Linked DNA regions of Diceros bicornis minor. The protein of the gene in region 1 purifies or fractionates together with the protein of each later gene. This does not show direct contact. Links are inferred from orthologs where the notes say so. Each region holds a gene or a part of one and is shown in the gene's direction. Other genes may lie near its edges.

What was found. The genes of interacting proteins can lie anywhere in the genome.
Region 2: the proteins of MYO6 (region 1) and ARHGEF12 purify together in Homo sapiens (affinity purification with mass spectrometry; 4 studies listed by BioGRID and IntAct, counting the BioPlex papers as one, with this or other methods). This does not show direct contact. The link is inferred for Diceros bicornis minor from reciprocal best matches to the Homo sapiens genes MYO6 and ARHGEF12.
Region 3: the proteins of MYO6 (region 1) and LRCH3 purify together in Homo sapiens (co-immunoprecipitation; 3 studies listed by BioGRID and IntAct, with this or other methods). This does not show direct contact. The link is inferred for Diceros bicornis minor from reciprocal best matches to the Homo sapiens genes MYO6 and LRCH3.

Annotation. Positions count from the first base shown.
Region 1 is NC_080762.1:54,979,006-54,987,215, reverse strand, and holds the start of MYO6 (unconventional myosin-VI), read left to right. Parts: upstream 1-5,182; 5' UTR 5,183-5,342; intron 5,343-8,210. UniProt on the Homo sapiens protein: Myosins are actin-based motor molecules with ATPase activity. Unconventional myosins serve in intracellular movements. Myosin 6 is a reverse-direction motor protein that moves towards the minus-end of actin filaments.
Region 2 is NC_080746.1:16,732,097-16,740,234, reverse strand, and holds the start of ARHGEF12 (rho guanine nucleotide exchange factor 12), read left to right. Parts: upstream 1-4,780; 5' UTR 4,781-5,699; coding exon 5,700-5,731; intron 5,732-8,138. UniProt on the Homo sapiens protein: May play a role in the regulation of RhoA GTPase by guanine nucleotide-binding alpha-12 (GNA12) and alpha-13 (GNA13). Acts as guanine nucleotide exchange factor (GEF) for RhoA GTPase and may act as GTPase-activating protein (GAP) for GNA12 and GNA13.
Region 3 is NC_080754.1:26,794,101-26,802,302, reverse strand, and holds the start of LRCH3 (DISP complex protein LRCH3), read left to right. Parts: upstream 1-4,844; 5' UTR 4,845-4,858; coding exon 4,859-5,120; intron 5,121-8,202. UniProt on the Homo sapiens protein: As part of the DISP complex, may regulate the association of septins with actin and thereby regulate the actin cytoskeleton.

The DNA of each region.
Region 1 (8,210 bases):
TCTTTTAATTTCTACAACTTGGTTAGGTTACATTTGACCCATTTAAGTCTGAAAAAAATAATCAACTCTTCTCTGCTCTTCTTTAAATTACTACCTTTGAGCTGAAGATCACAGGATATAGCAAATTAGATGAAAGATTATTTTTAAGACATTTGACAGTTCAATTAAAGTGTCTGAGGTGATGATCTTTGGTTACACTTGTGCTATTGTTTCAGTTTTAATCATAATGCTGCCAGAACAATTCAGGAAAACCTAGCTGGGGGTTTAACAGAAACTGTAGTTCTAAAAATTTCCAGAAGCGAGAATGATAAGATGTGTGGTAATCTGGTTAAGGAATTTTTTTTAAAGTATCTATTGATAAGTGACATGTCAGCTTTAATTTTAGTCCTTTATATTAAAAATATTTCTAAAATATATTAGCCTACTTTCTTTCTAGAGTAAGTTCAGGTAGGTAAACATCATTCAATCTTTTTAAAGAAACAATTTAGGATTTTACAATGATTACATTAAATACTTTTTCATGATAAAGTACAGGAGATGCAGATGTTGATGGTGTATGAGGATGGGCTAAGATACACCATAAGGAAAAAATCATAAGACTATCTCTTTAGGAACCTGCTTATTTCCTGTAATTTATTTCCCTATAAATTCCAGACGATTACCACTAGCACAAACCTGCTAATAACTGAGGCAATGATCAACACTTCTTTTAGAAATTATAATGTTGTAAATATCTCATTTATTTATTCATTAAATAAATACTTGAGTACCTACTCATCCCTCTTTTGTAAGGTGGGGATAATGATAGAACTTCTCTGTATCAATTGGGGTGCTTCGCTGAAGGCAACAGAAACAAACCCTGCCTAACTTATCCAGAGAAAGAATGTATATAGTGGAAGAATATCATGTAGCTCACAGACTCACTAGGGATGGTGCAGAACTAGGTGTGTAAAATGTGCAGGGCCATCCATTTAGGATGTCTTTGTTGGCACTGTCATGACCAGACTCTGGTTGCCACAATACCTACCCCACTGTGAACTCTCTCTCCATCTCTGCATCTTTGCCTCACTTTGTCCAGATTCCAAGTTTCAGGTGAGAGCATCCAATTCACTTAACCTAGGTCCCATGCCATTCCTATGCCCTAGTTGCCAGATAACGGGGAGAAGGACTTTGGCCAAACTCAGTTTCCTAATTATGAGGTAGTCCTTGCAATCACCAAGATTCAAAATTAAGGATTCTCCACAAATAGGATGGGAGTTCAGAAGCTAGGCAGGCAAAAAGCTAATGCTCACCATATTACCTCCTAGGGCTGTGAAGATTTAATGGGATGGTCTATGTAAACTGCTCAGCACAGTGTTGGCACATAGTAAGCATTCAATAGATTTCAGCATTGTCATTATTATTAATTCAGTGAGGCAAGCAATGAGCTTGTCTCTAGGGATAAAAAAATAATAGGGTGGATTTTCTAATTAAAAAGCTCAATATTTTGGAGAGTTGTTACGGGGGGAAACAAATATAGAAATATTATCATAAAACCACTTAATAAGTGCTACAATACAGATATACAGTGGGTGCCCTGGAAAACAGGGAAAAGAAAAACTAATTCTGCCAGGGTCAGGGCAGAGAAAATGATGGACTGAGTTTTGAAGATTGGAAGGAGCATCATGAAAGGGCTTGACACATTAGAACTCCTATGACAGGGCAGGTTCAGGATTGTTAAGGGCTCTGTACACCATGTAAATGGGTGTTAATGGATCTGAACGTCACCAGGAGTCGGTACAGGGGGTGACAGAATCGGATTTGGGGGAGGGGTAACTCTCTAGGAGTGGTGAGAGAACAGACTGGAATGAGCAGAGGGAATGTCAAGAGTGCAGATGAAAGAAGATGGCTTGCACTAAGGGAGGATGGAGATAAAGACATCAACTTACAAGGAATTTATGACATAGAATGAACTGAATTCAGTTGACTCCAAAACCAGGGGTGAGGAAGGGAAGGAGTCCTGTGTAACTTAAAATCCACAACTTTTTGAGACCAGTGACTGGTAGTATCATAATTATAACAGGGTCTATTGGCAAAGGAATCATTTGAGGCAGTGGGAGTGGAAAGAGACTGAGTTTCTGTGGGGTGTTCAGTCTGCCTTACCTTAGGAGTTGCAACACTGATGCAGTTGAAGCTGTCAAAGTGGATATCAGCCAGGGACGGTGCAGAGCCTCTTTAAACACCTAAGACGTTGATTCCCATAAAAATGAAGGAACAAAATCACAAAATCTTGCATATTGTTTCAGAGGCAGTACTTTGAGCCTCCATCTATGATAGCGGATCCATGGATCTCAGTTTAGGAATCTCTGAAGTAGTACAAGGAGACTTGGGGAAGAGTCTTACAAATATTTAATGGTGAGAGCAAAGTTGAAACACTTAACAAACATAAATATGGAATAAATTGTTAAGATGAGTTTTGGCAGCAAATATGACACAGTTACTTCCACCATGCTTAATGACAGTATACACAATTTCCTAGGATTGTCAACTGCCTTGCTGTTTGTTCATCCATCTGTCCCAGTTATTCAACAACAATAATAATGAGGGGGCCGGCCGGTGGTGCAAGTGGTTAAGTGCGCACGCTCGGCTGCAGCAGTCCAGGGTTCACGGGTTCGGATCCCGGGCGCGCACCGACACACCGCTTGTTGGGCCATGCTCTGGCGGCGTCCCATATAAAGTGGAGGAAGATGGGCATGGATGTTAGCCCAGGGCCAGTCTTCCTCAGCAAAAAGAGGAGGATTGGCAATGGATGTTAGCTCAGGGCTGATCTTCCTCACAAAACAAAACAATAATAATGATAGGCACTGTTTAATGAGTAGCTACCATGTAAAAGCCACCAGGCTCCACACTAGGGACACGAAGGCAAACAAGGGCCCTTTTCTGCCCTCAAGGAGTTTACAGGCCGGTTGGGGGAAACAGGTAAGTAAATGAAAGTAGCGATAGTAAAATGAGTGTTGGAAGAGAGATGTGCAATAGGTGCTGAGAGAGAGACGGGAAAGAGCACCAAATTGCACCTGGGTTTTGGAATAAGGGGGTTAGCAAAAACTTGGAGGGGACAAATACGCTTTATTCTGAAGGATTAATTAGATTTAGGCTGGCAACACTCCAGTGTAATAAATAGCATAGCTGTCTGTTCTGGACACCAAGCACTTCAGAACTGCTTGAACATAAAGTGAAGAAATGGAGAAAGGCAATGGATAGAAATGAGACTGGACAGGTAAGCCGGGCTAGGACAGTGGTCCTAAATGGTTAAGTGATTCCAAAGACAGGCAGGAAACATTGTGTGAAGAAGCCTGGTTTAACAGAGCTTTATGGGGTTTAAGTCAGTGACGAACTGGGGAACAATGAGGAGGCATTCAAATTCAATTAAATGAAAAAACGCAAGAGATCTCCACTGTGCTAGACAAACAGACACAGTCCAAGGATCATAGAAGACATTTTAAGGAGTGTGGATTTTATACTAAGGGTAGTCAGGGCCACTACAGGAGTCTTCAAAGAGGAGTACATAATCAGACTTTTATTTTATACAATATAAACCTGGTAGCATTGCAGACACTGGATTAGAAGGGAGAAGATGCCGCCTGGGAAACTGGTTCGGTGGCTAAAGCAGTACGCAAGACCTGAAATGACGGTGGCCTGAAGCAAGATGACGGCAGTGGCTCTGAAGAGGAATTCGATACACTGGAGAGATATGGAGCTAGAATCTAAGGGACTCAGGAATGACCTGGAAGTGGGGGCAGAGGAGAGAGAGAAAAACCACAAGTCCTCACTCACAATAAACTGTACTGGCTTCTATCGTTCTGCCAAAGCCTTTCAATCTTAAATCCAAAAAAAAGTCAAAGTCGTGAACTGAAATCATCCTCTCCTTCTCGCTCTTTTTTTTTTTTTTTGCAATTCCTTTTGAAATCTAGTTTTATATACTTAAGGTTTACCTCTGGGCAATCTGGAATTAAATTTCTGAGATTGCTGTAAATTAGTTCCTTTCTTGGTTTCTCTTCCTCTTTCTTACTTCCCTGTTTTATTCTTAATATTTTATTGTTTTAGTTGTATGCTAAAATATCTCATCATAACTTAGCTTTTCCACCAAAAGAACTGTGGAACATCTGAATATCTGAAACTTGTCTCCCATCAGAATCTTCTAGATTTCCTGAAGTTTCCTAGTTGCACTCAGAAATGTTGCGGGAAAAAGTGTAATTCTCAGGTATAGGTACTTGAACTTTTTTCGGCGGAGACGTTGAGCATCATAGTCAATCACCATTTCATTTTCTTAAAAGAAGCTTCTTTTCTTCGTAAAGGCAATGTATGTTTTTATCACATAATTCAATTTTGCATAGCTTCTTCACATTTAATTTTGAAATATGACTCACAGGTAGGTCACTTATAAAAACACTAAAATATAAACAACAGAGAGGATCGGGGCTCTGACAAGTAAAGGCGGCGGCAGGACGGAGGCCAAAGAAATGCAAAACTCCCATCTCAGACCCCTGCTCCCAAAGCAGACTGGCAGGTTTGTCGCGCAGGAGGTCACCCCCTTCGGAGGGCAGCCCGGCAGCCGCCGCGCCCGGGGCCGTGGTTCTTCCCCGCCCAGCCCCTGCCGGGGCCCTGCCCGCCCTCGGAACACGCGCGGTCCGCGCCCCTCCCCGGACCACCCTCCCTCCGTGAGCCGAGTCTCGCTGGAGCCGGACTGCAGTCACCGCACCCAGGCCGGAGAGGACCGGCTCCCAGGGGTGCAAACCACAACAGCCGCCCAACACGCCGCTTCGCAGGGGCGGGAACGAGGAGGGAGCTCCGCGCCGCGCGCTGGCCGGGGGGGCCGGGGCAGGGACCGCGGGCCCAGACGCGGAGCGTCCCCCGCCCGCCGCGCCCCTCTCCCTTCTCCGCCCGGTATCCCCGCCCCTCTCCTCCTCAGGCCAGTCGCCCCGTCCCGCCCTCCCCTCTCTCGCCGCGCCCTCCCTCTCTCGCCGCGCCCTCCCTCTCTCGCCACGCCCTCCCACCCTCCATCGCCCCGCCCCTCTCCCGCCTCCGCCCGATCGCCCCGCCCCCGCGCCCCGCCCCCTCAGGCGCTCCGTAGCCGTGACGTGCGCGGGCCCGGGGACTCCGCGGGGCGCCGGCCGGCGGGCGGAGACGGACCCGGCGACTGTCCGAGCAGGAAGCGAGCTCTGCCTGGTCCGTGCCGCCGCCCGTCCCTGTGCGCGTCCGCCTCGTCGCCCTCTGCGCGCACGCTCGTCACCTCCTGCCCCGCCCTCCAGTCTCACCGGCGACAGGTAGCCCTCCGCCGCACACCTGCCTTCGTGGTCCGCCCGGTGAGTGTCCGGAGCCCCGCGGGGGGCGTCGGCCTCGTTCCCCGCCGCCCGCCCTGCGTCGGGGGCTCCTCGGCCGCCCGGGCCGGGGCGCGGGGCTCCTCCGAGGACGCGGGTGGGGAGCAGGTGAGGGCGGCGGCGGCGGCGGCGGCGGCGCCGGGCTGCTGCTCGTTTCCGCAGGACAATGGGCGTCCGCGTCCAGGGACTTGTCATCTCCGGGATACCTTTGTGTCTGCGCTGGCTCCCGGGTGGAAGCAGGGCGCTCTGGTGTCCGCTCTGTCCGGGCCACTCCGTGGTGGCTTTATTTTCTCTTTCGTAAACAAGCTTCAAATCCAGCGCAGCAGTAGTGCCGTTTGTTCTGGGAGGTGCGGATCACACATTAACCTAGTAGTTTAATCATGTAGGGGACCAGGTTGGGACTACCTAAAGCTCCATTTGTCGTCTTTAGATGGTCCAGTACTTTGAGTATGCTAATTTATATATCTGCTACTGAACAACAGGTTTTATGTTTGTTAATTTCCAAAGACTCTTTAAAACGATTAAAAGCTCCAATTCTAGGACTTTAAGTAGGAAATAATTTGATAGGGTTATTATAAAACATGGGTGTCAGAAATACTTTCATACAATTTCAGAAAACACATTACATTTTATCTGACATGATGTTTGCGGTGGAGGAATGCTTAAATCCTAATCTACAGATATTAGTGAAGAACTGGGAAGACTGCCCCAAACTTAATAGACTGATGTACGTGCTAAATAAAAGGTTCATTTGCACTTGTGCTCTGGTGGTGTAGATGCAGTGTATCTAAATGTAGTCAGGGTTTGAGAGTTTTAAAAAAGAATATTCTTAAGATTTAGCTCATGCTGTTAACACCATAAAATGTGACTCTTGAACTTGGGCTGGCAGTGGTCATGGTACAAAGGCTGGCAGCAAAATGGCATTTCTGTACAAATTAACTCCACTTCGTAGATGTCTTGGGCTGTGGTTTTCCAGTTGGAAATTGTTTAGTGAAAAAATTACCTTGGTGTCTTTTATCATTAATTTTAGAAACAGCACAAATTGGGCTATAGCCAGATCTTGAAACAATGCAACTGTTCAGAATAACTCATTGACTTTTAAATATCCAGTTCATTTTGAGTATTTTCAGTTGGGCAGGAATTACATGCACATTTTAGTTGTAGGCAGATTTGCCCGTCGCATTTGTATGTTCTGTGTGACATGCTATTGTTCTCCCAGCTTTTTGTTATATTTTTGATTTCAAAAACTAGTTTTAAAAGGCAGTAACAGAAGTGATAAACAACTTTAAGATCATCATGATTCAAAACTCTAAATATGTAATATATAGAACTATATATAATATACGTATATTCTTCATTAGTGCCCGGAAACATGAGCAAGAAAAATGTAATGAGCTATTGCACTATTTAATGTAAATTAATGCAAGGTATAAAAAACAGAGATCATAAATCATAACGCATGGGGCTCATCTGAAATAGATTTTTTTCTCTGTTTATGTTTATGTGATCAGGTTTTAAAATAACAGTGGCCAGGAAATCTGAGAGAGGCTGAAGGCTCTTTTCTCATCCTGTTGTGACTTTGTCTGGAGACTGTGGTGTATCATGTAGCCCATTGTTTAGATAACTGGCCTGTCTCTGGGTTCTAAAATACAGCTTTCTTTAGAAAGTTTAAAAATTTTGACCACGTGAGGTTTGAAGAAATATAAACACCCTAAACATTTTTTTTTTTAAATGAAGCAATTTTCATTGTCTGTTGATTATTGAAGCTCCATCTTTGATATGTAAAATGTCAGTTTTAAAAAGATTTCTTTAAACTTTTTTTTTTTTGGTGAGGAGGATCAGCCCTGAGCTAACATCCATGCTAATCCTTCTCTTTTTGCTGAGGAAGACCAGCTCTGAGCTAACATCTATTGCCAATCCTCCTCCTTTTTTCTCCCCATAGCCCCAGTAGATAGTTGTATGCCATAGCTGCACATCCTTCTAGTTGCTGTATGTGGGACGCGGCCTCAGCATGGGCGGAGAAGCGGTGCGTAGGTGCGCGCCCGGGATCCGAACCCGGGCAGCCAGTAGTGGAGTGCGCGCACTTAACTGCTAAGCCACGGGGCCGGCCCTAAAAAGATTTCTAACCTCTGTGAAATTTTCATTTCTACATATTAAAATATTTTGAGTAAAAGATTGAAAAAAATATTACAACTTTAATGAATCTCATACAGTTTAATTGTGAGCCCCATAGGAAGAGACTTCGTAATAATTTGTGAACTGGCCCTTTAGTATTATAAGATCGTCACCCATTTATCAGGCATCTGCCATAATCAGAACACTAACTGAGGGACTTGATCAACAAAATATTATCAAAGCTGGTGGTCTTGTCTTTTTACACATGAGGAAATTTAGGCTCTGAGAATTAAATATTTGCTCAAGGTCATGTAGCTCCAGAGGGACAAAGTCTGGATTCACACCCAAGTCATCTGACCACGAGACCCCGTCCTTTCCACCAGACCAGGGTGCCTTGATCTCAGTTCATTTAGTAGACTGTTCAGTAAACCTGCAGAACTGGTATTGTGTTCCAGAATGTAACTTGAGGTTTGAAGAAGGCACACAGGAGTGAGGATAAGATAGGCCGTGAATATGGTTCTGGAATGAATTTTGATTTCTCTGTCTTTTTTCATTCTTAAGTTGACAGCCTTGAATGGTGATATGATGTTGCTTTATCATTTCTGGTGTAAATTCTAGAATGTTATACATATTGTGCACTGTTTAGTAGGTTTATAGGAACTAGAATTAGGCTGTAACACTGGTTTTCATTGTAGCTAAAATGAATAGTATAATCTTTCTAGTTAAGATAGAACTTTA
Region 2 (8,138 bases), on another chromosome or scaffold:
TACCAACTGTGTCGGGGGTCCCCAAGCCCACCCTCAGGTTCCCTAGGACGACTCACAGGACTCAGCACATAGTCATACTCATTGCTTTGATATATTACAGCGAAAGGATACCAAGAAAGATCAGCAAAGGGAAAAAGCACCAGGGGCAAAGTATAGGGGAAACCAGGCCCAAGCTTCCAGAGCCCTCTCCCAGTGGGATCACACAGGATGTGCTTAATTCCACTATCGACGATTTGTGGCAATATGTGTGAAATGTCCACCAAGGAAGCTCATTAGAGACTCAGTGCCCAGGGTTTTTACTGGGATGTAGCAAAATTCCTGACTCCCAGAAGGAAAGCAGGTATTCAGCATAACCCATATTGTTTGCACAAAGAGTTTTAGGCACAGTGAGCCAGTCTTATCAGTTAATGGTGGGAGCTCTCCTGAAATCGAAGTTCCCAGATGCTGGCTGATGGCCAGCCTTACAAGCAGCCCTTTCCAAGGATAGCAGTTCAGTCCTGCTATGTTCTCTTTTCTGCACAAAAACCATAGAGCCAGGGCTTTGGATGAGAGATGAATGAGGTGTGGGCAGATTTACCGAGTCCTGTTGTACGGGTTTTGCCCAACCGGGAAAACTATGCCAGTTCTCAGGGCTTTGTGCATTAATCTCGTAGGCATGAGAGGCTGTGACTAAATTCCACAGGGATTTACCCTGTGGATTCCACTATGCTTGAGATGACAGTTCAAGTTTCAGCTCTGCTGTGCACGCTGCAGGCTAGAACCAAAGACTAAAGCATGTCCTGGCCTCAGTGGGATAAGGCTAATTTTTGCATTTCAGATACATTCCCTTTCAGTCCTTTTACTACTTTTTCTCAGAAAAAGGTGCCAGTGTTGATGGACAAAATATTATAACAAGGCCAGACTTGGAAGGAAAAAATATTTTTTAGTGCGATAGTCTCTGATCTCACCTAGGAAAAGCAAGAGTGTAAGCACAGAACAAGGGGATGGGAATCAAGAATTCCTGGGCTCTTTAACTAATTTTGCTACTCACTTGCTGGATCATTTGGGCAGGTCACTTGTTTACTCTTTGCCTCAATTTGAACCCTCTTGTGAATGAATGAAATACCCTGCTGGGTATTTCATAGAGACATTATGTGGCATTTTATTCATGGAGGTGTTTAATGTAGGGCTTTTATGAAAAAGTGAAGTATTTATTTATTTGTATATTTGTTGTTTATTTATTTATTTATGTTATTTAGATCTGTGGTGACTGATTAGCTCAGTTGGTAAGCAAGTGTATGGGGCTCTTGAAGTCAAGGCTGAAAGCAGGAAGTGTGAGCCCATCCTGTGGTGACTGGTAATCTTAACCTAATGAGTGGTCTTGAAAATGGATGTCATTGGCCAGGCATGACGGAGTGACTGGAACTGCATCAAGTCATCGTTGCTCTGGGAAAAGCAACTTTAAAGGCATGTTAACAGTGGGTCTTCTAAAATGACTGTCATTTGGTGAAAGAGTTTTGCTGGACATGGAAATAATCTGACAGTAGCATCTCCATCTCTATTTGTCTATGATCAGTATCCCTAAAATGCTAGTTAGCTTCCTCCTAACAAATCTGTGGTCAAAGTAGGATGCTGGGGAATGCTGATTTTAGCGAAAGCCTACTAAAAAAGTGGCTTGGTGCATGAGCTCAAAAAAAAAAAAAAGAAAAAGCTGGCTCTTGAATTTTGGCACAGTGTAACCTGTTCCATACCAGACAAATGAATAGGCTTAATCTGGTACCAATTCTTTTCTCCTTACTCTTCAGAAATGAAGGGATTGCAGATCTTGCTGTTTTGGGGTACTCTCATGGGAGTTTCTTTGAATTTTGAGAAACCTAAACAATGATAAGGGAAAGAGAATTCCTCATTTCAACTATTCTTGATGTCATAGCTAATAACTATGAAGGAAACTCTCTGAGAGAAAAATGTGAAATGAATATGCCTCAGCAGTTGAGATGCTGAGTTTTTACATCACAGGTAAATGAAGGGCTAATTCACATGTGGTGTGGTTGGACAAAATGCAGGACTCATTTGCATTTGGATTACTATGTAATAATTACTAACACTGCTCAAGAAGGATTTATATTTCAATAAGATTTGTACTAAATTTTATAAAAATAAACAACTTTTTCTCAACCTAGAGTCTGCGTTTATATCTTTGTTGTGGTTTTGCCAAGAAGTGGGGAAAAAAGTCTTTTGACCTGTAGAAATGTTGACCCATATTTATACTTATTGGTGAATTACCTCTTATCTGCTGCTTATCATCAACCATTCCTACCATTCTTTACTTTTTGGAGCAACACTCTACATACAGAAAACACTTTGCCAAAAGAGAGAGGAAGAACCTAATTTCTTTCTTATTTTGCCACCTGTGTGGGCAGTTGCCTTGAAAATGATGATGTTGAGTGGGCTCCATGAGGACACAGCCTTTGGCTCTCTTCAGAACTGTACTTCCAACACCTAGAACAGTGTTAGATGCAGAGTAGGTGCTCAGTAAGCATGTTGAAAGAATGGATGAGGGGAGGAGAATGTGGTTTAGAATAACCCTCCAATGGAAAACCTGCTCAAACAGCATGCACAATGGATTGTGTCATTTTTCTAGGCAAAAGACTAACGACCCTGGGGAGTGTGTACTACCTAGATTGGTGTGACTCTTCTGAAGGCGTTCTGTAGATAGAGCCCTTTAGAACAGTCTAGAGCTACCAACAGCTGTAAAGAGGCTTTCACAGACATTTTACCATTAGCGCTTTGTGGGTGAATATAGAGATTTTCATCATTAAGAAAAAATAGTTCTGGGCTTAATTAAATCCTTTGCTTACCATCTTCTGAAGCTTTCCCACAGCAAATGCCTTCTTTGCTCACAGCTAGAACTTTGGGTCTGTTTAAGTTTGGAAAGATCTTGAAAGCAGTCTGCCAAGAGGTTTTGTATGCAAGGAAGAGAAGGTGAATTAGGAAACTTGCCCAGTTTGTTTTATTTCTGAAGCTCAAGTAGTGAGGCATTCTTGAAGGGAAGTGGGGAACTCGTTTTTAAAATGCATAATTTGATGAGTCATTGGGTCCAATTAATTTGATACCTACACTGTAAAATTATTAGAATAGGGCAAAAAAGATATTTAGTATGTTTAAGAAAGATATACGTTTGGAGATAAGGTTTGCATTTTGGTCAGTGTATATAGATGGATGGAGCTCTTTCCAGTTATATGTAGAAAATACATAATTTCATTAAAAGAGTTTTCAGGATAGAATTATCACGTTAGGGTACACCAGCAGGTGGCAATGTGTCCTGGTCTGATCATTAGGAAAGTGGCTTGGAACCCTAATCTGCTTCTATTTTTTCCCAAAATAAACATTACAAAATTAGCTGGCTGTGCCCTGAACTTAAAAAATTCAAGCAATAAAGAGTCATCTTTGGCCTCTGTTTATCTTTTCCTTTTTTTACCCCGTTCTAACGTCAGCCTTAGCTCATGCATCTATTCAGGGATAATGATCCTTTCATGAACTGTTGTAGGTCGACTTTTAGAAACAGCATTGTTAAGAGGTAATTGTAACTGTTTCCGCTCGCCACATCCACTGACGACTAGATTTGCTTTGCCACTTGATTTCCACAAAAAGGCTGAAGACCACCAATACGGGTTTAAACTCAAAAGTCTGAAAATAGCTGGATAAAGGGACAGCCACTTTAGACCTTTAAGGGAGGAATGGAAGAACTAAATTGCGTGTTGTACTTAAATTGCTACAATACCGAATTATGCAATCATAAAACTACATAGATATCTAAATCTAGCTACATAGTAGGAAAAAAACAACGAAAGAATATTTGGGAACTCTTCAAAGAGAACTGTAATGCTGTTTACTGGATAAATACAGTATACTTTATTTTCTGCCTTTATTTCTTTCCACAGCAAGCTTGTTAGGTCGCTGTGGAAAGCACCATGTTTTCTCAATTTGGCAAATAATACCTTTCATTTTGCCAAGGCAGAAGCAGCTTAAAAGCAATATTATCCCAAGAAATCTTGGCTCCAATTCCCAAACTCTCTTTCTCCCCAGCCCTGCACACCCCCGTCCTCCAACCCTCCCTCGGCAGGCAGGACGCGTGCGTGGCGGCCCCTGTCCTGAGACGAGGCCAGCAGGTGCCCCAGGTGAGTGGCCAAGGCCAAAACCTCCCTTTGCTGGGGTTTGCTTCATAAGAGAGGGACAGTGTCCAGGCACCTGGACCTGAGCTCGCTTCCATCAGTCAGAAGCAGTCTAAACGTGTTAGCAGAAAATCGGAAGAACAAGTACATTCCCTCAAGGAGTAAAAGTTTCTAGGACAAGGGGGCGGGTGATGGCCAAAGAGCCTCTCAGCCTGAACACCTCGGGGTTGGGGGAGCGCTCTTTGGCGGTCTCCGGTTAAAGCTGAGTTAGCGCAAGCTAGGCTCCGAAGTACAGATACCCGGCATTCCCGGGGCCCCAGGGGCGACGGTGGGTTGCTGAGTTGGTGAGTGGGACTCCCGGGTACCGACTGTTCCCACCTCGTCCCGCAGAACTACTTTCTCGCTCCCCCACACAAGACTCCGGCGGAGGCGTCGGCGGGGGCGGCGGGAACTCGCGCGAGGCGAGCGGGGGCGGCGGGCCCCAGGCGGGAGGGCGGCGCGGCGGCCCTGCGCGCCGCGGAGGGATCCCGGGTGAGGCGGCTTCCCGAAGTCAGAGGGGAGGAGGCCGAAAAAGTCGACGGGGGAGGGGACGAGCGAGCTCGCGCTGGACACGGCCGGGGTCTGGAAGACAGAACCGGAACCGGAACCCGGGCGCACGCCTGCGAGTGTCGCGCGGCCCCCACCGCCGCCGGCCTCCCCCGCCCGCCGCGCGCGCTCCCGCGAGGGCCTCAGGACCCGGCGAGCCAGCCGTGCGCTCCCAGTCGCCGCCGCTGCCGCCGGCCTCCGGGGCCGGCACTTCCACGCCGGGCCGGACCGGAACCTCCCGCCCCTCGCGGGAACCGCCGCCCTCGGCGCGTCGGGGAGGAGCTGCCGCCGCCTCTCCCGACTGCGGAAGAGTCCGGGCCTCCGCAGGATGGGGAGCAGCCCGCGGCGCTGAGACCAGGTTCCTGTCACCTCTGGCTGCGGGACCCGCTCCGCCGGCACCCGCACCCGCCCCGCGCCTGGTGGGGGCGGCGAGGAAGACGAGAGGGCTTCCCCGGCCCGGGGACATGGAGCCGCGCGAGCCTGGCGCGGGACGGTCCGAGACGCGGCCGAGGCTGCGGCCACGAGCGGCCGGCAGTCCCAGATAGAGCGGAGACGAGAGGGCGGGACGTGCAGGCCCCGAGACTCCGGAGGAGGAGCCGACGCCAGCCCTGAGCTGGTCTCGCCCCAGCCCCGGAGGGATTCCGGGCCCCCTTCCCTGCGGTTCTCCGACTTCCCTCGGTGACGAAGTTTTCTCCCTGTGCCTTTTCGAGGATTGATCTCTAGAACTCGCCTTCTGGCAGACTTCCTCGGGTTGTTTGGGGAGATAACTTGTTTTGCTCCACCCCATATCCCCTTTCCTTGACTCCTTCCAATCGGACGTTCTAGATGACTGCATGGAGTTTTGAGTTGGACTTTTGTGTCCCTTACGGAGTCGGGCCTGATCCCAGAGCACTGGGGGTGGGGTGGAGGTGTTCCTGTAAAATGCAAGTTGGATAAAAGGAGGACCTCTCGCCAAGGGCCCCAATGAGTGGCACACAGTCTACTATCACCGACAGGTTGGTATGAAGCTCCCCCTGCGCTCAGCCTCCCTGGATTCGGCCGACCCAGCAGGAGAGTCAGTGATTGCCTTTGACCAGCGGCGTTGACAGGCACAGGAGAGAAGGTTGTTTCCGAGCTCTGCAATATGTCTAGGGTTGCTGCCGAGTTACCCGGTTGATTGAATTTGGAAATGTAGTTTTTTCTGGAGAGAAACTTTCCTCCAGATTCTCAGAGCAGGGATAGGTAAAACCATGATTGTGGTTTTCTGCCTGTAGTGTGCGTTAGGATTCTGTCCTTATTTTGGAACCAGAGGAAGGTCATTTGGGGTGAAGGTCAGTGCTCGAAGTCAGCTGGGGTGTTGGTGCATCCTCGGTTTTGATTCCTGTCCTGTTGTTTCTGGACACTGTTACTTTTTAGGAATTTCTGTTTGTGAATTTCATTCTGAGACTGTTGCATAATGATTTATGAACTTGATTTCCTTTAAGTAATTGACCTGCACAGTGTTTATTATCTAATAATTTTCCAGAATATTGAAATTACTAGTAAACCGCAGGCTTTTGCTGGGGGCAATATCAAGGAGCTAAAAAAAGGCGAAGAAAAATAATGGGGCTTAATTTTAATTATTGTATTTTTAGTGTTTCGTCTTCCAGAGACATTTGCATTTAAGGGATACAAACCCTAAGCGAATTATGTAGTACAAGTGTGACAGGTGGATTTGTTGAGTTCTGTGAGCCTTTTATAGTAGTTCTTATTCTATGTTGCCTGGTGTTGTTTGGTTAATTGAGGTAGGCCATTTGTGGTTTAAGTGGAGTTCCCTTACTCTTAAGAGTTATTCTTTGGAATATTAGGTTAAGCAATAGAAGCATATTAAGTCCTTTACTACGTTTTATTTCTCAATTTAATTATGACATTGTATCCTGGTCCCAAATTTCAGTCACCTTTTTTTTTTGTCATGTTTCAAACTGTTACATCATTAAAAAAAAGATCAAATAACTGAATAAGGGGGCCAAAGAAGGCACTTTGATGAAAAGTGCAGCAATAGTGCTCCTGCAGAAAGTAGTTGAATTTCCTAATAAGAGTTTTACCCAATTGTAAGACTCATTTGTTGATTTTAAAAGGGCCAAATTCCATTATCATACCATAACAGCGACTCCAGAAACAGAACTTCCTCTTCCTGTTGATGCTTTCTAGTGTCACGTGGATGTTCACCTAAAAGATTCCATTAAATATTTAAACTATTTATATTTATTCTTTGTTCGTGTATTTTTTTTAAAATACTTTTTAATTTTCAACTTTGAGAGTACACGTAACATGATTAGCAACAATGCTCATCTTGATTTTTTCTAGTTATTCCCATTCCTTTTTCTTTTGGGGTGTTTTGCTTCTGAGAAATCACTTTCATGGGTGTGTGGGTAATTGTTTCCGTGGTTCATTCAATTCTTACCCTCTCTGCTGAGCCTTGGACAAAAAGTCTTATTAAAGTAGTGTTGGTAGTTTTTATTGTGATGCGAGGGATGTTAAATGTTGTGGAAGCAGAATGTTGGGTCATCAGCTCATTCCACATGAAAATCACCTAAAAGCCCCCAAGTAATGACTGTTCTTCCCCTTTGCTTCTCAGAGATTTTCTTCCTCTTTCCATTATCTTGGAAATAAAATCTTGAGATGTGTCCTTTTTATGACTTAGATAAAATATGAATATACAAGAAGCATGCAATTATTGAACGCCTGTTCTTTGCTAGGCACAAAGGATTGAAAGATGAGTATTCTAAGAATAAGATGAATCTGCAGATTGGTTTGAGTATTAATATGCTTGAATTAGTTCAGGTGCTGCCTGATTTTATATATTTTTTAGAAGAAAAAAGAACTTTAAAAGCCACTTAATTTAAAATGCACTACTGAGACAGTATGGATGTCTGTTTCGTAGGAATGTGCTACTAGTTTGGTTTTTTACAAGAATTATTCTTATGTAACCATTACTTTTTCATTAAACATAAATTATTCCATAAATATCAAGCATCCATTTGCTTTTTAGGAGAGTGGTTGTCTCTGATTTGAATATATGTTGGGGTGAAATCCAGAAGTACTGGTTTAGTATCATTTCTGTGCCAGGATGCCTCAACAAAGTTATGAGTAGAGAATAGTTCCTAACTTCTTCTCAGCCCTGCCTACCTCATCCTGTCTTCTCACTGTCTAACTCCAGTGCACTGTAGGTATATTTTGCTGATTCTGGAGCTGTTGGCAAATTAACAGAGCCAGTGTAGGTTTTTAAAGATCCTTTCAAGTTTGAAGTACTGAATGTGGTATGGCTTTGTTTTGTAGAGTATGCAGACCCACCAGGCCAGCTGTGTGATTTAGAGTTCTTTCATTGTGGTGCTTCTGACTACAGAGTCTGTCTGTCCTCAGTTGAAATCAGACTAGCTGGTT
Region 3 (8,202 bases), on another chromosome or scaffold:
AAATTCTTGAGTGTTAACATGTTGTATATAAACGAAAGAATATGCTTTGTTGGAGGAAAATTTCCTTTCTGGAATGTGGTTGTAGTCATCCTTTTTTGGTTCTTTAAGTTTTTTTTAAAACAGGATGCAACTTAAAATTTCCTTTGCATCAAGGTGTATGCAAAACATTGATGCAGTGCATCACAAAATGAAAGTTTGTATTTAATGAGGAGATGCTTTACACTGTACTTTTTGGTGTTTTTTTGGAAAAGTTACATTTAGATCTATTCTGAAGCTGTTCATTTTTAACAAATAAAATGTTACAGGTCTCACATGATTTATTCTTAGCTATAAAGATTGAGTTGTGGTTTTTAGATTGTTCTATGTTACAAAGAACTTTGTGGTAATTATATTTAGAATTTTTAGAGTTTGCAAAACTATGTACCAACTAAGTTGGTAAATCAGTCTAGATTCATATTGACATCCTTGCAGCTGCCTTTTGACCATTTTATTCATAACTCCAACAGAAGTAGCCAGGAGGAGTTAACAGAGAGAATCAGATTTACTTAGAATGCAGAATATTAGGCTGGATGAGCCTTCAGAGATCATCTAGTTCAACCCCTCTTTTTACATCTTAAAGTGAGACCTAGCTTTTCAAGACCTGTGTGTGGCGGAGTCACTTTCTGAGCTCAGATCTTTTAATTCTCAGTTCATAATAAACTGTTCCTGTGAGTTGAACACCCACAGAAAGTAGTGGAATAGTGTGTGGCTTGTTAGATATCTAAGAAGTGGTAATAGCCATGCTTCAGCATTTATAGTGTGGTAAGTAAATCTACTCTGCCAGTGCTGATTATGAGGCTTCATTATGAGACTTCATTACTTTGGTATTCAAGTTATGTAGACCTATTAGAAAAGGCCAGTGTTCCTAATCAGACATTATATATATGTGTATTTTTTTCTAATAGGCATAAACTTCACAATTTTAATTTTAAACAAATCATAAAATACTTCTAAGTATGAGGAAACTTACAGGCTTCATTGCCCAATTGTTATTTTTTGTGAGAATAGATATGTATGTCATATTTTCCTGTAGATAGCTTTATAATTCACACAACTTACACAGTGTTGGGGTAATTTTTTTCAGATTTATATTTACTATAAGGAGATAAGAGAGAAAAAATAGCTGACTTTACAGAGAGTGAATATACACTCTGAATGCAGGCAATATTAGGGCAGAAAATGATTTCTTTTTTTTTTTTTTTTTTTTTGCTGAGGAAGATTCACCCTAAGCTAACATCTGTTGCCAATCTTCCTCTTTTGCTTGAGGAATATTCGCCCTAAACTAACATCTGTGCCAGTCTTCCTCTATTTTGTATGTGGGTCCCTGCCAGAGCATGGCTGCCAACGAGTAGTGTAGGTCCGCGCCCAGGAGCTGAACCCCGGTGGCCAAAGTGGAGCACGCCAAATTTAACCACGAGGCCATGGGGCCAGCCCGATTTTTTCATTTCTGAGCAGTATACCTTTGAACTTGCATCAGAGTTATATGATTGTTTTTTGCCACTGTGAAAAAAAATGAAGCATGTGATTTAAGCTTCCCTTTAAAGAGAGTTCTTTTTGCGTAGATCATTTTGGAGTTAGTCCTTTTTATAAAATGACACCAATAAACCCCAAGCATTTACAACACCAATTCAGTACTGTTGTGGACCGTTAACAGAGATTTAAATATTTGCTTATAAATCGTTGACTTCTGATGTCTCTCTTTCCCCTGCCATTACAGTTTACTTTCTATCTGAAACCTATTCAACAAAAAGCTTGATAAAACTAGGAAATGTGATAACCATTCTGGAACTGAATTCCTTGTTCTAAGTGTATTTAGATGAGGTTTACTGATGTTTAAAGATGAATAGGAAACTATTTCCCCAGTGTGTATGTGTTTAATTTCTACTTCCATTTCCATTTTCCTCTAATAAAAGAAAATCACATTGTCTAAATTTTAAAGTTTTAAAAAGTCAATTATTAGTGCTTCTTATTAAAGAAGTTAGAAAAGGGAAGGATCAGACATTTATTGAATATATTCAACAAGTCAGTTTCTGTGCTTTACATTTGAAGAGAATGGGATTGGCCAAGATTTTAATCTTAACTGCTTTGAGTTATAGAAGTGGAGATTTAAGGAGTGACCATAATATATTTCTGGTGAGTAGAAGGGGGCGGGGGAGGACTTTATTTCTGCGTGATGTAGTGAGATGCAGAGATGGAGAGAGCTATTGAGGTTTCAGTGCGACTTTTGCCCCTAGTATTCAATGAGTTAACTCTCAGCTTGTAAAATAAACAGGAAGAAGCAGGGAAGTTGTCTATATCAATTCTTAACATTCAGTAACTCCCACTGCCTGTTTTTTTAGCTGCTTCCAGTCAACAGAGCAGTAGTGGAATAAGTTTATAGATCCCTGTAGCCCTTTTGCTCACAGCCTTTTTGCAACTGTTTATCATCATTTCTTTTATTCATCTCTAGGCTCTGGTGAACTCACAATGACTCCATTTCCTATATCATTCTCACAAGATGATCTTATCACTTGCTTTATGGAGAAGATTGAGGGAGTAGGATGAGGATTCTCTCATTCTACCTTTACTTTTTAGATGAAACCTCAAATCCTTAGAAGTCTCAGAATTAGCTCTATTCTGAGCTATTTTTTCTTTCAGCCTTTTCTTTACCTAAGAGTTGTTCTCATATAATGGTATATATAGCATCTTCATTTTCCCCCGTATCCATGGGCCTTTCTTTTGGCCTTCAGATATCTTCAGACTTATGTACTCTGTTCTCAAAAATTGTTATTCTTTTTTCTGTCCTCCCAACCTTCTCTCCTGTTAGTACGATAACCGATTGTCTGTCTCTGCTTCTTTCCACTCATCCTTTACTATTTTTTAACTCCTGTTAATATACTCAGCCCTGGGATATGGATGGTAATTATAGAGTTTAACATATTAAGGACCTTAAAATCTAGTTGAGTAGACAAAGTAACATCAATCTATAAACTTGGTCAGAATTTAGAGACCAGGATTGGCATGGTATGTTGTAATTATGATGAGATGTACAGATAGATAGAAAGAATGAGGCCATATTACAAAGAACTTGTCAGAAGAATTTAGTGTAAATGTGGAAGGTAATAGGTAATCAAATATAGATGACATAATGGTGCATTTTAGAAAGATCTGGCAACTATTTCTATAGCATTGTAGAGTTAATATGGAATATATGATTATGCTGTTAGTCATTGTAGTTGACATATCTCTAAAAGATATAAAATGAGGCCCTGCTCTTAAATAGCTTAAAATCTTTCTAAGAATAATAAAATTTTAGGAGACCAGAGTAAAGGAAACCAATTCATGCATTGGATGAATGTTATTTGCCAAGGATGACAAATACATCGCTTGCCATTGTGGTGACCCATGCTCATATAACAGACATTGATAATTGATCCTGGAACTTGTTGCTGAAGAAACTAGAATGTGGTATTAAGAGTTCATAGAACAACTCTCTGAGCAGCTGTTACTAACAAGCTTTGGCACTGAGATTAAAATTTTTTATAATCTCTTTCGTTTAGGAGTTGGGGGAAGTGCTAGTCAAGGTTTCATTGAAGAGCTAGGTGGGATCAGCTGGGGTGATAGGTAGGATCTCTCCAACCTTATTTTCTCTTGCTGTCTGACGAACTTTTTGGCTTGTAGTCTTAATGTTCTCCACATGTACCAGTATAAATCATACCTGCTGTGTTCATGCTGATCCTCCTCCCAATCTGGAGTATTGCTTTCACCTTCCAGCCAATTCCACTTCCTAATCCTTCAGATTTTATTCAAAACCTCATTCATCCCTGATATTGATTCCTTTTTCTGAACTGTGATTGATAATCCCCACCACCCCTTTGCTGTCGTCTTATTCTCTAATTGGTGTATTTGTTTGGATTCCATAATTAGATTATAATCTCCTAGGGAAAGGGTTGTATCTGACAGCCTCTTCTGTTTCTCACAGTGAATACTAGTTGGTTGATTGTAGGAGAAATTTACATCATGTAGCAGGAATGGCTTAAATGTGTAACACAAAAATATGTTGAAGACTGGTTGCAATATGTGAGGTATAATTGGTTTAAAATGTGATATTTTCTACTTTTTCAGTAATGGTTTCATTTTTTACCATTTCTTTGGTCTACCCTTAATTCCCTCATTTAGATTATGGTCAGATCATTTTCCTCAATTTTGGTTGCAGACCAAAATTTTAGACTTTAATGCCGTTCATCCTGCTTTGCTCAACAATAAAATCTTGCCTAAAGGACGAGTACTATTTAATAAAGGGAGGGAGGGCCTAAAATATTCATATAACCCTTTCAATGAGAATTATGGAGTTTGGGAGCCAGGTTAGCACTTACATTTCCCTCAGGCAATAATAGTTAATAAATCCACAACTCTCCATTTAGATCATTTGGTAAATGTTTTAGGTCGTATCCCAGGGTCCCTTCCTCTCGTTGCCCAAGTTTCCGGCAGCAACCGTGTTAAGGGGCCTTAATTTAATGCTTAATCGAATCCTCCAGTACTGAGGGAGAAAAGCAGAGAAGTTTTGGTGAGGAGCGTTATCTGAAAGATATTTTTGTAGAGGCGTTTGAGAAATGCTGGTCACCTGGAGTAGGGGGCTGCACCATATTTGTGAGTTCCGTTTTAATTTCCCTTGAAAATCACGATGTGGGCGGAGGCAAGCGCCTGGATGTGTGGAGGGGCACCGCAGCCCTGCCCATCAAGGGAACCGTCGGGGTCTGGATGCCCCTTTCCCCGCCCACCCATCAGTTCTGGCCGCGCATGCGCTGAGCCAGCGGGCCGGAGAGTTGTCGGCTGGGAAATGGCGGCCGCGGGCTTGGTCGCTGTGACCACGGCTGCAGAGTACTCTGGCCCAGTAGCGTCGGGAGGTAACCTCTCCGGTGTTAACTGCGGCCCAAGCTCCGGGGCAGGCGCTGGTCCTGGCCCGGGCTCATGGAGTCGCTCCCTCGATCGAGCGCTGGAGGAGGCGGCGGTAACCGGGGTGCTGAGCCTGAGCGGCCGGAAACTGAGGGAGTTTCCCCGGGGAGCGGCCAACCACGACCTGACGGACACCACTCGGGCGGGTGAGTGGGGCGGGGGGCATCCCTGCCGACGGAAGGCCCGGGGCGGGGCGGGAGGCCACCCCAGCCGGTTGGGGGGAGTGGGAGTATTTAGAGCAACTGGTCCCACAGCTTCTGGTCGGGGCTCGGGTAAGGGGGAGAAGCCGACTGCCCCAACCCACCCAGCCCCCCGGGCCTGCGGGCCAGACCCCAGACCCAGACCCCGGGCCTGGCGAGGCGGCGGACAGCGGCGTCTCTCGGGAAGAGGACCGTAGGGGCTTGATGGGTGGTGGTGTGCTCGCCTAGAAAATTAACTTCTGCCGCTGCCGAGGTAGTGCCTTGCCCCGCCCCGGTGCCTGCAGGCCCTTTCGGATTTGGGATGCCAAGTTGACTTTGCTAAGATTTGGGCTTGTAGCGCGCTCTTCTTAATGGATCAGAGTAGCATTGGTCGCCGCGTTGTCAGGAAAGCATCGAGCTCGGCGCTGGCGTTTTTCCGAAAGAGTTGTTTTTAGTGTGAACCCAATCGCTGTAACTTTTCCTTCTCCACTTTCATGTAGTTGACTTACCAAATGTACTTGTAAAAATAACTAGAGCCCACCTTCAGACTCCCATTGCTTTCCTCTCTCCTCATGCCCCTCAAAAAAAGTTGAAGGAAGAAAACCATCTGAAAAAGATACATAGATTGCCTACCATATCTGTATTTAATGCTTTTTAAAAACAAACATTACTTTGCTTTATACATGTTTTTAAACACAGGAAAGATAATAAAGAATTAGGTATTATTTGGTTTTCTTAGTTGTAGAGAACAGTGTCTGGTGACTGAAGTGTTCAACATAATATGTTTTTCTTGTGTTTAAAATATAGCTTCCTCAGGGAGTAGATTAAAAACTGAGCCTATTCATGTTTTACACAAACACAAAGAAGGAAGAAAGTCCCTTATGCCGGTTTGTACAGTATGATGTGGTTAAATATTTTATTTTCATATAGTGTTTTTGCAACCAAAAAATGTACTTTGTGTCTTATATTTATTCCATTTTATTTACTTTATCTTAAAATCTTTGATAACACCTTTCCTATGTTTGTGCACTCATTAAAGACTGATGAGTATTACATATGATTCACTCATGTTAGAAAAATAAACAGAACTGTTAAACCAGTTCAAGAAACTATTCTTTCCAAAGAAACTTTTGCTCTAGTGTAAAATAGGAGAAATTAAATGCCTACTTATTTAATCTCTTTTTGGACATAGTTGTACTGAATACAGTTTGTATTTTTTAGTGAATGATAATAAAATTAAACTTTCTTGCTAAGGTAAGTTTGAACAGCCACTTGCCTTTTGCATATGTTCTCATAGATGACATCTAAAATTGTCATCATATCCCAAATTTCCTGCTTCTGTTATGGCATTATGGTTGTTCAGGAGTTGGATGGCATAGTGATTCTATATCAGTGTGAGTCATTTCAGTATTACTATATTAAGCCTGAAGCTAAAGAATAGTTGATTACAAGAGTTTAACCAGCTCCTTATCATACCTGCTTTTAAATAGTTCTAGGACCAACATGTTTTGCCTTTAAGAAATATTTTATTAACTCACAAAGAAAACCCAAGGGCATTTGTGAAGAATAAGTAATCCCAGTGAATTTTTCTCTTACTGTGCTCTGAATTTTTAATTTGTTATTATCTATGCTTATTTTATTACTTTCATAGTTTCTTTATAAACCAAATTTTTTGTTGGTTGACATGTTATCTGGTCAAAAAGTGTAAAAAAGAAAAAAGATTACAAGGTATTTCATAGCTTACTAGACTAGATTCATTTCTAACATTTTAGAAATATTACTTATTTAGTATGAGAAATCTTTGGCAGACCTTGGTAACTAAGAAATCTTTGGCAGACCTTGGTAAATACAAAAACACTGAATTATTCTAAACAGATAATTTGATACAGATAACATCATTTATTGAGTATTCACTGTTTCCTATTCATTGTTAGGTGTTTTAAAGTACATTGCCTTGTTAAATGCTCATAACAACTAATGGATTAAATATTATCCCACTTTACGTATGAGGAATCACTCAGAATTTACAGTTGAGGAATCACTGAGAAAGACATATAACTAGTATTAGTGGTAGACTTTCAGCTCAGGTCCATCTACCTCTTTTCTCTCCACTGTATCACACAGCCTCCCTATGTACAGATAGATATTACTGTTCCTGTTTACGGATAGTACAGCCAAGGTTTGGAGGGATTAATTTGCACAAAGACCTGTAGTTAAAGGCCGGGAAAGGTGGTATTAGCCAGGATTTGAGCCTAGTTTGAGGTAACTCCAAAACCGTAGTCTACCTGTTACACCAGGTACTTTGATGAATTCAGACCCAACTTATATTAGCTAAAATGTTTTGTTTAGATCCTATAGAAAATTTAAAGCCAAGAAAATTATTTGAATGCTATGTATATCAAAATTGCCACACAGTCTGTTCTTTAATAATGTATGGAATGTATCTAGTAGAGCTGCTGTCCTTCAAGAGTTTACATTCTAAGAAACAGCATATATTATCCATACCACTTATAATTTGACATGATTAGAATTCATTAGGAACATTTTCTTGAAGTTTTTCCCTCCTGTTTGTTTAAAAAGGTAAAGGGAAATATTTGTTTGGGAATGGGTGACTTGATCCAGTAGACAAGGAAAATCTTAGAAAAAATCACAGAAGACCTCTTGGGGCAGAAAGGATGTAGCTTGGATTTGGGTAAGCAGAAGTGAGAAGGAAAGCCACTCCAGGCGGTGGCTGTATGCAAATGGTGGCTATATGTATCCCCTCCAGGTGGATAGTATACACAAAGTCTTAGAGTATAGGGCACGTCATTAATTTTGCCAGTCATACATTCACCTTTCATCTGATAACAATACTTCAGTTTTCCTAGGGAGTCACCCTTTTCAGTTACATGGATCCCACCCCAACACAAGGGTGTGCACATGACTCAGGCCTAACCAATCAGTGTAGTCCATCCCTCTGGCCACAGTGATTGTCAGAGATGGGCACATTTTCCAGTCAGCAAATATGAGTGTTAATTCTGAATTTTTTTTTTTTTTTGTGAGGAAGATC